Drosophila melanogaster: one gene and its partner. The protein of the gene in region 1 interacts with the protein of each later gene in a pairwise test. Each region holds a gene or a part of one and is shown on either strand. Other genes may lie near its edges. The genes, in order: Mal-B2 and CG17109.

The links.
Region 2: the proteins of Mal-B2 (region 1) and CG17109 interact in a two-hybrid assay, tested with the Drosophila melanogaster proteins (one large-scale study listed by BioGRID).

The regions. Positions count from the first base shown.
Region 1 is NT_033779.5:11,848,359-11,853,381, forward strand, and holds Mal-B2 (maltase B2), read left to right. Parts: upstream 1-1,948; 5' UTR 1,949-1,996; coding exon 1,997-3,193; intron 3,194-3,259; coding exon 3,260-3,410; intron 3,411-3,468; coding exon 3,469-3,664; intron 3,665-3,722; coding exon 3,723-3,863; intron 3,864-4,019; coding exon 4,020-4,086; 3' UTR 4,087-4,523; downstream 4,524-5,023. Other genes in the region: Mal-B1 (maltase B1), read left to right, coding at 1-63, 123-469, 541-757.
Region 2 is NT_033777.3:23,092,848-23,098,947, forward strand, and holds CG17109 (uncharacterized protein), read left to right. Parts: upstream 1-2,842; 5' UTR 2,843-2,885; coding exon 2,886-2,976; intron 2,977-3,035; coding exon 3,036-3,524; intron 3,525-3,584; coding exon 3,585-4,002; intron 4,003-4,061; coding exon 4,062-4,266; 3' UTR 4,267-4,393; downstream 4,394-6,100. Other genes in the region: CG6726 (uncharacterized protein), read left to right, coding at 1-171, 235-439; CG17110 (uncharacterized protein), read left to right, coding at 832-928, 983-1,474, 1,533-1,947, 2,003-2,207; CG6733 (uncharacterized protein), read left to right, coding at 4,912-5,002, 5,060-5,551, 5,611-6,028, 6,086-6,100.

The DNA of each region.
Region 1 (5,023 bases):
AAATCTGTGGACGCCATGAATATGCTGCTGATGACATTGCCAGGAATTGGTATTACTTATAATGTGGGTACAGAACACTCATTATTAAAGGATAATTTTATACAGACTTTCCATTACTTTAGGGCGAGGAGTTGGGCATGACTGACTACAGGGACATCAGCTGGAGCGATACGGTGGATCAGCCCGCTTGTGAGGCTGGAATCGACAACTACAAGACGATTTCTAGAGATCCTGAGCGAACTCCCATGCAATGGAGTAGTGATGTGAATGCAGGATTCTCCTCCGCCGATCGCACTTGGTTGCCTGTCAATCCGAATTATAAGGAACTTAATCTTCGGAATCAGCAGCAGGCGAGGCGAAGTCATTACAAGATCTATCAGTCCCTTCTGAAGCTCAGACAACTGCCAGTTCTGAAGAACGGATCCTTTGTTCCAGAAGTGGTTAATCGCAGGGTCTTCGCTTTCAAGCGGTAAGTAGGGAATGGATATTGGCGTTGTATTGACATTTTAATGTATTTTGACCTTTATTCTATATTATCAGAGAACTGAAGAACGAGCACACTCTGCTGACCATTGTGAACGTGAGCAACCGCACTGAACTGGTTGACATCGCGGACTTTATAGAACAGCCCAATCGATTGAGTGTCCTTGTGGCGGGAGTGGACTCGCAACACCGGGTGGGGGATCGACTTAAGGCCGAGACAATTGAATTGGCGCCCAACGAGGGATTAGTTATTCAGCTGAATAAGCGAAAGTAAGCGGCGAACTACTTGGAATTCCACATTAAAGTACGAGGAAACTTTCCATTTGCCAACCAGCCGTGCTTTTCTATTTTCGTATTTAAATGTATCTCACAGGGGCCATCTAATCGAGTTTCCATTTCATTTGACAGCGGAACACATTTCCATTTACATTAGCGCATTGCAAACATTTTAATTGAATTGAGAGCACTTGGTGTCGGACCTTCTACTTCTCACTTTGGGGCACTTTCCCTGTACTGTTTGGCCTCGACTTTAATTCCAAGTCGTAATTCATAATTGTCGTCAGGTTTTTTGGCCCTTTTCGGGGGCTCAGGCCGCTTGACAAATGGTTGCCGAATTTAATTAAATTCCCACTTAGCGGTGGTTGACGACCTTAAAATTTGCTTTGATTTTAATTCTCACTGCAATTGTATGCTATAAACTAGTTGATTGGTAGGTGTTCTCAAAGCAAAGGCATTATTCAAAATTTATGACAATGTTCTGATGTTATCTCGTATTTGGTTCGTTTTTGCGTTGTTTCTGTGATTACACTTGACAATGTGAAATTTTAATTTCTCATCAATTCACTATTTTACAGTACAGTGAAAGAAAATTTGCATACTACATACCACAATACAGGCAAAGAAGAAACAAAGTTTAAATAAATAATTGCCTACTCTCTAAGGCTTCAATGGAATTAATTTATAAACAAAAAATATATTTTATTTAAAACTTATATATATTAATAAAATTACTTAAAACTCTCGAGATTTTTATTTGCCACCTGAAAGTTCTGTACATTGTGATCTTCTCCAATCGTCTGTGGATCCAAAGCTCTCGAACAGCTGTTGGCATCCAATTCCCCAAAAGCTTTGAGTTGATCGCCGCCGGCAGATGCTAAAAACGCATCGAGAATTATAATTGTGTTCAGTTTATTTTAATTTCCTTGAGGTGAGCATAGTGATTTTGGTCGGCGAAGTGTCTATAAAAAGCACCTAGTTTTCCACCGATTGGCTTGGCAAGTGCAGAATGCCGTAAAATTGGGAAAAACAATTTTGTTTACTCATTTAATTTGCACCGCAATTTGTTTTGATTGGTGCTGATAAAAATCTGACAACAAATTATAGCTTTAATACGACTGCTGATAATTAGACAAAGACTAATGCAAAAATTATTTTAATTATATGGTAGAATCGCTTTAAAAGTGCCTGTCGCACTGCCAACTCTCGAGCACATTAAATAGAATACCTCGCCGCAATGCGCGCTCCACTCATCCAAATCCTTCTTTTTAGTCTACTAAACTCCGGCTCCATTATGGCCGGTCTGGTTAAGAGCGATACGGAGGACTTTATCGACTGGTGGCCGCACACGGTGTTCTATCAGATCTACCCGAGGTCATTCAAGGACAGCAATGGCGATGGTATCGGCGATTTGAAAGGAATCACCTCCAAGCTGCGCTATCTGGCGGACACTGGCATCACGGCCACCTGGTTGAGTCCCATTTTTCAGTCGCCCATGATTGACTTTGGCTATGATATATCGGATTACAAGGCAATCCAGCCGGAGTATGGCACCATGCAGGATTTCGAGGAGCTGATCGACACGGCTTTCGAGCTGGGCATCAAGGTTGTTCTGGACTTTGTGCCGAATCACAGCTCGGATCAGCATGAGTGGTTCAAGAAGTCTGCGGCAAGGGAGCCGGGTTACGAGGATTTCTATGTGTGGCACGATGGCATCGTCCAGGAGAATGGCACTCGGGTGCCACCCAACAACTGGCCATCGGTGTTCTACGGATCCGCTTGGGAGTGGCACGAAGGTCGTGAGCAGTATTACCTGCACCAGTTCACCAAGGAGCAGCCGGACTTGAACTATCGCAATCCCAAAGTGGTTCAGGCCATGGATGATGTGTTGCTTTTCTGGCTCAACAAGGGCGTAGCTGGTTTCCGCATCGATGCAGTGAATCATTTGTTTGAGGACGAATCTCTTAAAGATGAGCCATTGAGTGGCAAAACAACGGATTCACTTTCCTATGACTACACTAAGCACATCTACTCGAGAGATCTGCCAGAAGTCTTGGAAATGATTCATCACTGGAGGCAACTGCTGGATGACTTTAGTGCCAAGCACCCCGAAAGACCAACACGCATCATGATGACGGAGGCGTACGCAGGACTAACCCAGCTGGCGGACTACTACGAGGATTCCAACGGGGTTCGGGGCTCCCATCTGCCCTTCAACTTTCACTTTATCACGGATGTCAAAGGCGACTCGGATGCGCGTGACTATGTCTACAACGTGGAGAAGTGGCTGATCTACATGCCACGCGGGCACGCGGCCAACTGGGTCATGGGCAACCACGACAACCCCCGAGTCGCTTCTCGATTCGGTCCAGCCAGTGTGGACGCCATGAACATGCTACTGCTCACCCTTCCCGGTGTCGCCGTCACTTATAATGTGAGATTTTGTTGCTGACTTGGTTGGTTGCTTGTGGTCCTTTGGCTTTACCCCTACACTTTTCAGGGCGAGGAGCTGGGCATGGTGGACTACCGCGAACTGAGCTGGGAGGAAACGGTGGATCCACCGGCCAGAAATGTTGGAGAGAAGCTATACCAGGAGGTCTCCCGTGACCCAGTCCGAACACCGTTCCAGTGGAATAACGAGACCAATGCTGGTAAGCCATTGATATTATTATTATAATTTAAATATGTCTCATTAACTTTTTCGCACAGGTTTTTCCACTGCCGCCAAAACCTGGCTGCCTGTCCACCCGAACTACCTCGAGCTCAACCTTGAGGCCCAGAAGGTGGCCAACAGGAGCCATTACCAGGTCTACAAGGATCTGCTTGAGCTGCGAAAATCGGCCATTATGCGTGTGGGCCGATTTAATATTGAACCCCTTACTCGTTGGGTGTTTGCCTTTAAGCGGTAGATGAACGAAATTTGCCCTTAAGAGACATTGATTAATTGGAAAACCGTTTTGCAGGTCCTATCCCAATTTTGAGTCGATAATTACCGTGATAAATGTGAGCGACAAGGAGCAGTTGGTGGATCTCTCAGAGTTTCTTAGCCAGCCTAAGAAACTAGTGGTTGAAGTTTCCGGCGTGGATTCCAAATATCAACCTGGGTAAGTTTGTTCCTTTGAATTGTGGTCACTCATTTCCCGCTTTGCACCGTAAAAAACAATCGTAAAAAGCTAAATAATATTCGAAGAACATCAATGTAGAGTTCCCTTAAATCTCAATGTCCCTTTTACCATTTTCTTTCTGTATTCCCGCTGCAGTCAATCCCTCGCCGCAAGTGCATTGCTCCTGGCCGCCCGTGAGGGTCTCGTCTGTCGGCTGGTCTAGCCGGGAATGGGATTAGAGGAATTACCAGCTGATGGCGGCAAACTTTGCTCTTTAATTGCATTTCCAGTTCAAAATGTCACGCGATTGAATACATAATGGGGGGAAAATTAATGACCCTCGAGCTGGTACATTTTTTCGTTTGACTCGATTGAATTGAACGCTGTCCAGTGGTAATGAAGGCAAAGGGGGCAGTGTGGTCCGGATCCTGTCCGGAAAAAAGTGGCCACAACGTCGCCTGTTCCTGGCAACTTGCCCAGAACACTTGGCCGCTGTTGATGTTGGTGTTTCATTCTTGCCCGGTCACTGTAATTTTTCATGTATGGAGGAAGAACACACACAGGAACCAAGAAAGATTTATGGAACTGGTGCAGAATCCTCCCACCCATGCGGAAATGTCGCAAGGACGGCACAAAATATAATACCACATGCAAAAGTTTTTAAATGTCCTTTAATAACTGAATTTAATATTTGTGAGTGGCAACTATGGCAAACTTGTTGGAAACTTTTGATTGCTCGATGCTTGTACAAATATTTTGCCAGCAAATGGAAGTTGTTTGGATTAGAAGTTAATAGTTGCGAATGGCCGGAAAATTACAAAAATGTTGTTAACTTCCATGCAATTTCATTAATTTTCCGTTAGCTCGAAAATGAGAAAACTACTACTATTTAAATAGCACAGCGATTAAGTTTCTTTCTTAAACCTTTAATCCCAGTTATTTTCAGTAAAACTTAAAATCATTAAGCGATATGTATCCATTCAGTTCGACAAACGATATAATTAAGAATTGCTCGGCTCTTAACCGATTCACACGAAATTTAAAAATTTCATTACCCATACGCCACGTTGAACCGGATCTCTCATCGGATTAAAAGTATATATATTTTGCTGTCTATATGCCCCGCTGCGTTTCATTTCGTTCTGCTCTTAACCCAGTCT
Region 2 (6,100 bases), on another chromosome or scaffold:
TGCCGTCACCGTGGATATCCCTGCCTTTGAGAAGCAGATTCGCGACTGGTGCGAGGAGGCTGGCGGCGGCATTGAACTGGAGTTTGAGATGAAAAACCCCTTTGTGGAGCCAACAAAGATTGACTCGTCGAATGCCTACTGGCTGGCCTTTAAGAAAGCACTCGATGACCTGTAAGGATGAGAAGCTCTGACAAAAGGCATGGCTCTGATATCCTTTCTCCTTGTTTCTTTCAGTGGCCTCAAGACACGGGTTCGTGTTTTCCCCGGCGCCACGGACAGTCGTTATATTCGCTACGCAGGCATTCCAGCTCTAGGATTCTCGCCCATTAACAACACCCCCATCCTGCTGCACGACCACGATGAATTCCTGAAAGCCGATACCTATTTGCACGGCATTGAGGTTTACAAGAAGCTCATTCCTGCCGTAGCTGATGCTTAGCGAACTCAATTCAATTATGAAATAATGCATTTAATGCTTACTTGTCGATGTTTATTGTAATAACTTTAAACAAGCAGGCTTATAAAAACCCATTTAAATAAACAATGTATGAATAAATAAGCCAGTCCATAGTCCATACCATTAATGGTGAGCAAAAAAAGGAAATTTAAATGAAAATGAATAAGTTTATGGTTTACTATTATGGCTTTGCTAGATAACATTAAGCTCTTAGCGCAAAGATGAAAATCCGCAAATTGTGGGCTCTTCTAATCAAGTAGCTTAAAGTCAACAACTGATAATGCCATTAAGTCAATCCACACTCAGACTTCAAACCAAACAGCACGGTGGATTACAAGTCAGTTCCTTTAGAACCACGGGGCATTCAACTCAAAATGTGCACTTGCACGGAACAATGGAAGAACGACGAGGAAATAATCATTTTCCAGGAGTATTTGCGCATTCCCTCGGTGCATCCAGACGTGGACTACAGTAAGGATTTGTTTTTCCGCTCCTTGGATTTTGTTATCCCTATTTCCCTTGCAGCTGCATGCGTGGAGTTCCTAAAACGCCAGGCTAACAAACTTAATCTCCGCGTGGACGTGGTGTATCCTGTTGTGCCTTCGAAACCGGTGGTGATTATGAAGTGGCTGGGCAAGCATCCCGAGCTGAAATCCATTATATTGAACTCACACATGGACGTGGTGCCCGTGTTTCCCGAAAAGTGGACCCATGAGCCGTTTGGTGCCCACATAGACGCCCAAGGCCGGATTTATGCACGCGGTGCCCAGGACATGAAGTCCGTGGGATGTCAGTACATGGCTGCGGTCCGTGCACTCAAAGCCAGTGGCTATCAGCCAAAAAGGACCGTATATTTGACTTTTGTGCCCGACGAGGAAACTGGCGGACACATGGGCATGGCTGAATTCGTCAAGGGTGATTACTTCAAAGCCATGAATGTGGGCTTTAGCCTGGACGAGGGCATCGCCAGTGAAGATGACACTTATCCTGTATTTTACGCCGAGCGTACATTGTGGCGTAAGTCTTCCATTTGCATCAGTAGCAATATATTCTGATTCATTTTATACCCCTGCAGAACTTCGATTTAAATTCAGTGGCACTTCAGGTCATGGATCGCTGCTGCACAAAAGCACGGCTGGCGAAAAGTTTCACTTTGTGATGGATAAGCTGATGAAGTTCCGAGAAACCCAGGTCAAGCTACTGGCCGAGGACTCCTCCTTGCAGTCCGGTGATGTGACCACTTTGAACCTGACCCAACTCAACGGTGGCGTCCAAAGCAATGTGGTTCCCCCCGTACTAGAAGCCACTTTTGATATTCGCATAGCCATCAACCAGAATGCCGATGCAATGGAGAATCAGATTCGCGAGTGGTGCAACGAAGTCGGTGGTGGAGTGGAACTGGATTTCACGCTGAAGTGCCCCTCGGTGGTGACCAAGATAGACGACTCCAATCCCTACTGGCTGGGCTTCAAAAAGGGACTAGATGAACTGTAGGTAAACAAAGATTGTGTAGTTTTCACTTCATAATTTGTTGAAATTTTCCAGAGGTTTGATCACCCATACACGAGTTTTCCCCGGCGCCACCGATAGCTTCTACGTCCGGCAAGTGGGAATTCCCGCTCTGGGATTTTCACCCATCAACAACACCCCGGTGCTGCTGCACAATCATGATGAATATTTGCGGGCCGACACATATCTGCACGGAATTCAGGTGTACAGGAAGCTCATCCCCTCTATTGCTGATTCATAAAATGTTCAAGCGAAGTTCCACTCATAAATGGAAATCAATATGCTACAATTGGTCTTATCGCTTATGAGTAATGTTTTTGGCTCGATGAGTGTAGGACCAAAATTAAATGTTTAAATGGTGTGACTACTACAAATCATATCTGTTTCTAAACAAATGAAAATCACACACTGATAACACGAGTTTCAGAAGAGAGTTTTTGTCATGGACTTTGCCCTCATTCAATATCCAATAAATCGTCACAACTATTGATATCGTTCTCAAAAACTAACGTAACCTTCACGTAAAGGGGTTGTATTTTATATATACATCATAATTATCAATAATTACATTAATATGTATTCTATTTTCTTATCAAACCAAATACAAATTATAATAACCCATTTTTTCGCAGACCATAAACGACGGTGGTTGAGTTTTATTGGTGTTATGTGAACTTTATCGAATTGGCTACCGTTTGCTATTAGACATTTGTTTTGGTAGAATTTTGTACAAGAATATGTGCTGTTATCATTTCTATAACAACCGAGTTTGATAACGAACTCATTATTTGATAATAATACGAAGCCAAGGCCATAAAACCAAAATCACCCAACACACAAAAATTTCTGTATAAGTTCATTTTTTGCCAACTGCGGCACATTCGAGTTTGGTGACTGGCAGCGAAAACATATCCACAAAATGAGCACCGAAAAGTGGGAGGACAACGAGGAAATCAAAATATTCCGCGAATATTTGCGCATAGCTACGGTGCAGCCAAATGTGGATTACAGTAAGGATTCCCCAAGGAATTCACAGAAGAGCACTACTCATGTACATCTTAACTTCTAGCCGAATGTGTGGAGTTCCTGAAAAGGCAGGCTCACAGCCTGGATCTTCCCGTGGATGTTATATATCCAGTGGAGAAGAAGCCTGTGGTGATCATCAAGTGGTTGGGCACCGAACCGGAGCTGCCCTCCGTCATTCTCAACTCGCACATGGATGTGGTGCCGGTGTTCCGTGACAAGTGGACCCACGATCCCTTCGCTGCCGATATCGATGAGGAGGGCAGGATCTTTGCGCGCGGTACTCAGGACATGAAGTCGGTGGGCACAGGATATCTGGGTGCCATCCGCCTGCTTAAGGCAAGTGGTGTCCAGCCCAAGCGCAATTTCTTCGTGACCTTTGTGCCCGATGAGGAGATCGGCGGCGAGCTGGGCATGCAGGAGTTCGTCAAAACGGAATACTACAGCAACATGAATGTTGGTTTCAGTCTGGACGAGGGCGGCACCAGTGAAATAGATCTGTTCTATGTCTTTTATGCCGAACGTATGCGATGGGGTGAGTAATCCTTGAGACACATCTAGGACTAGAATCTAAACTATATCCCCTCTTTGGCAGGTCTCAAGCTGAATTTCAGTGGAACCTCTGGACACGGCTCCATGTTGCTGCCCAGCACTGCCGGCGTGAAACTGAACTATGTGCTCAACAAGCTGACGGAGTTCCGCGAATCGCAGGTTCAGAGGCTGGCCAATGATCAGACAATCAACATCGGTGATGTGACAACTATCAATCTCACCCAGCTGAGCGGTGGAGTCCAGAGCAATGTGGTGCCTCCTCATTTCGAGGCTGTCTTCGACATGCGTCTGTCCATCACCCTGGATGTGGTTGCCTTTGAGAAACAGATCCACGATTGGTGCGAGGAGGCAGGTGGCGGCATCGAGATCTCCTTCGACGAGAAGGAACCCTACGTGGCACCCACAAAGATCGACGACTCCAATCCATTCTGGCTGGCTTTCAAGGCTGCCACCGATGAACTGTAAGTCTGAATCGAATGCTCAACAATGCGTGTTCCTAATACGATTTGTATGTTTATAGTGGCCTTAAGATCTACCCCATTGTCTGCCCCGGTGCCACCGACAGCAGGAACATTCGAGCTCAGGGCATTCCAGCCTTGGGATTCTCACCCATCAAAAATACCACCATGCGCATCCATGATCACGATGAGTTCTTGGGCGCCGAAACTTATTTGAAGGGCATTCAAATATACAAGAAAATTTTGGGCAACCTAGCGAATGTCTAAAAACTAAATCGAAATAATACATGAAAACCTTATCAAAATAAAGATTGATGATTTTGTTATAAGTTAGTACAAAACTTCCTGGCCTTTTATCTTATCTCAACGAATACCTTAATCAACTTAAGATCTGAAGAATACAACTTGCTATCCTTGCGACAGCAAGTAGATAATGGATGTATCTACATTTTGCTGTATCATCATAGATAGCAAGTTGGAAGACTGGGAAGCCCATTAAATCCAAAATAATCACTTGATTTTTTCAAATCGAAGGTCATCAATCAAAGCTTCGTCATTTTAATTGAATTTGTCATAATTTTACGATATGATGGAAAATATTGAAAAATACATGACAACTTACCAAGAACTTGAGGTTTCAAAGGTTGAGGTTGCATAGATAATACGCAATGAACTCATTTCTGTGTAAGTTGCATAGATAATACATAATGAACTATTTGCCGCTTAGAAAAGTTACTTATTCGGATAATAGACGTGTGGGTTTTGCAGATAAGGGCGTTACTATCGCAACCACATACACTTTTGATAAGCATTTAAATTCCTTGACCATAAACATGAAAGCAATCAGTGTGATTATAAAAGCACAGACAATCTTTGTTGCAGCTCAGTTGCTGATGACAGAAGAGTGTCGAAATGAGCTCGGAAAAGTGGGAAAACAATGAGGAAATTAAGATTTTCCGGGAATACTTGCGTATACCAACGGTGCATCCAGATGTTGACTATAGTGAGGACTTAATTTTAATTCTTTAAAGTTTGCGTTATAATGTCTTTCAATGTCTAGCTGCCTGTGTGGAGTTCCTGAAACGTCAGGCTAGCTCCCTAAATCTTCCTGTTGAAGTGGTTTATCCTGCTGTTCAAACGAAGCCCGTTGTGATCATCAAGTGGGAAGGAAGTCAACCCGAACTATCGTCCATTGTTCTCAACTCTCACACGGATGTGGTGCCAGTTTTTCGAGAGAAGTGGACCCATGAACCCTTCTCCGCCGATATTGATGAAGAGGGTAGGATCTTTGCACGGGGTACTCAGGACATGAAATCGGTGGGCACTCAGTATCTAGGAGCGATTCGCCTGCTGAAAGCTAGTGGCTTCAAACCAAAAAGGAATTTGTATGTGACCTTTGTTCCCGACGAAGAGACTGGTGGTCATCTGGGCATGGCGGAGTTTGTTAAGACGGATTACTACAAGAAAATGAACGCGGGATTCAGCCTGGACGAAGGCGCCACTAGTGAAAGTGACGTTCATCATTTGTTCTACGCCGAACGTTTGCGATGGGGTAAGTTCCATAAGGATGATGATGATGGATTGGGGACATTACCGTTTCGCTTTATGCAGGACTCAAGCTGAAAGTCAGTGGAACTTCTGGTCATGGTTCCCTTTTGCTACCCAATACGGCAGGAGTAAAACTGAACTATCTGGTCAACAAACTGACTGAATTCCGCACCTCGCAAGTGGAGAACCTTGCGAGAGATTCCAGCCTCAGCAAGGGCGATGTGACCACCGTGAATCTCACCCAGTTAAGTGGCGGAGTCCAGAGCAATGTGGTTCCGCCACTTTTCGAGGCGGTCTTCGACATACGGATTGCCATTACTGTGAATGTGGTTGCCTTTGAGAAACAGATTCGCGATTGGTGCGAGGAGGCGGGTGGTGGCATTGAAATTGATTTCTTCCAGAAGGAGCCTTATATAGGACCCACCAAGCTGGACAATTCCAATCCCTACTGGCTAGCTGTCAAAGCCGCAATCGATGAGCTGTAAGTACCGACTAAAAATTAACTATAATGGCTAATCGAAATCCTCCTGTGTTTTAGTGGATTGAAGGTTCA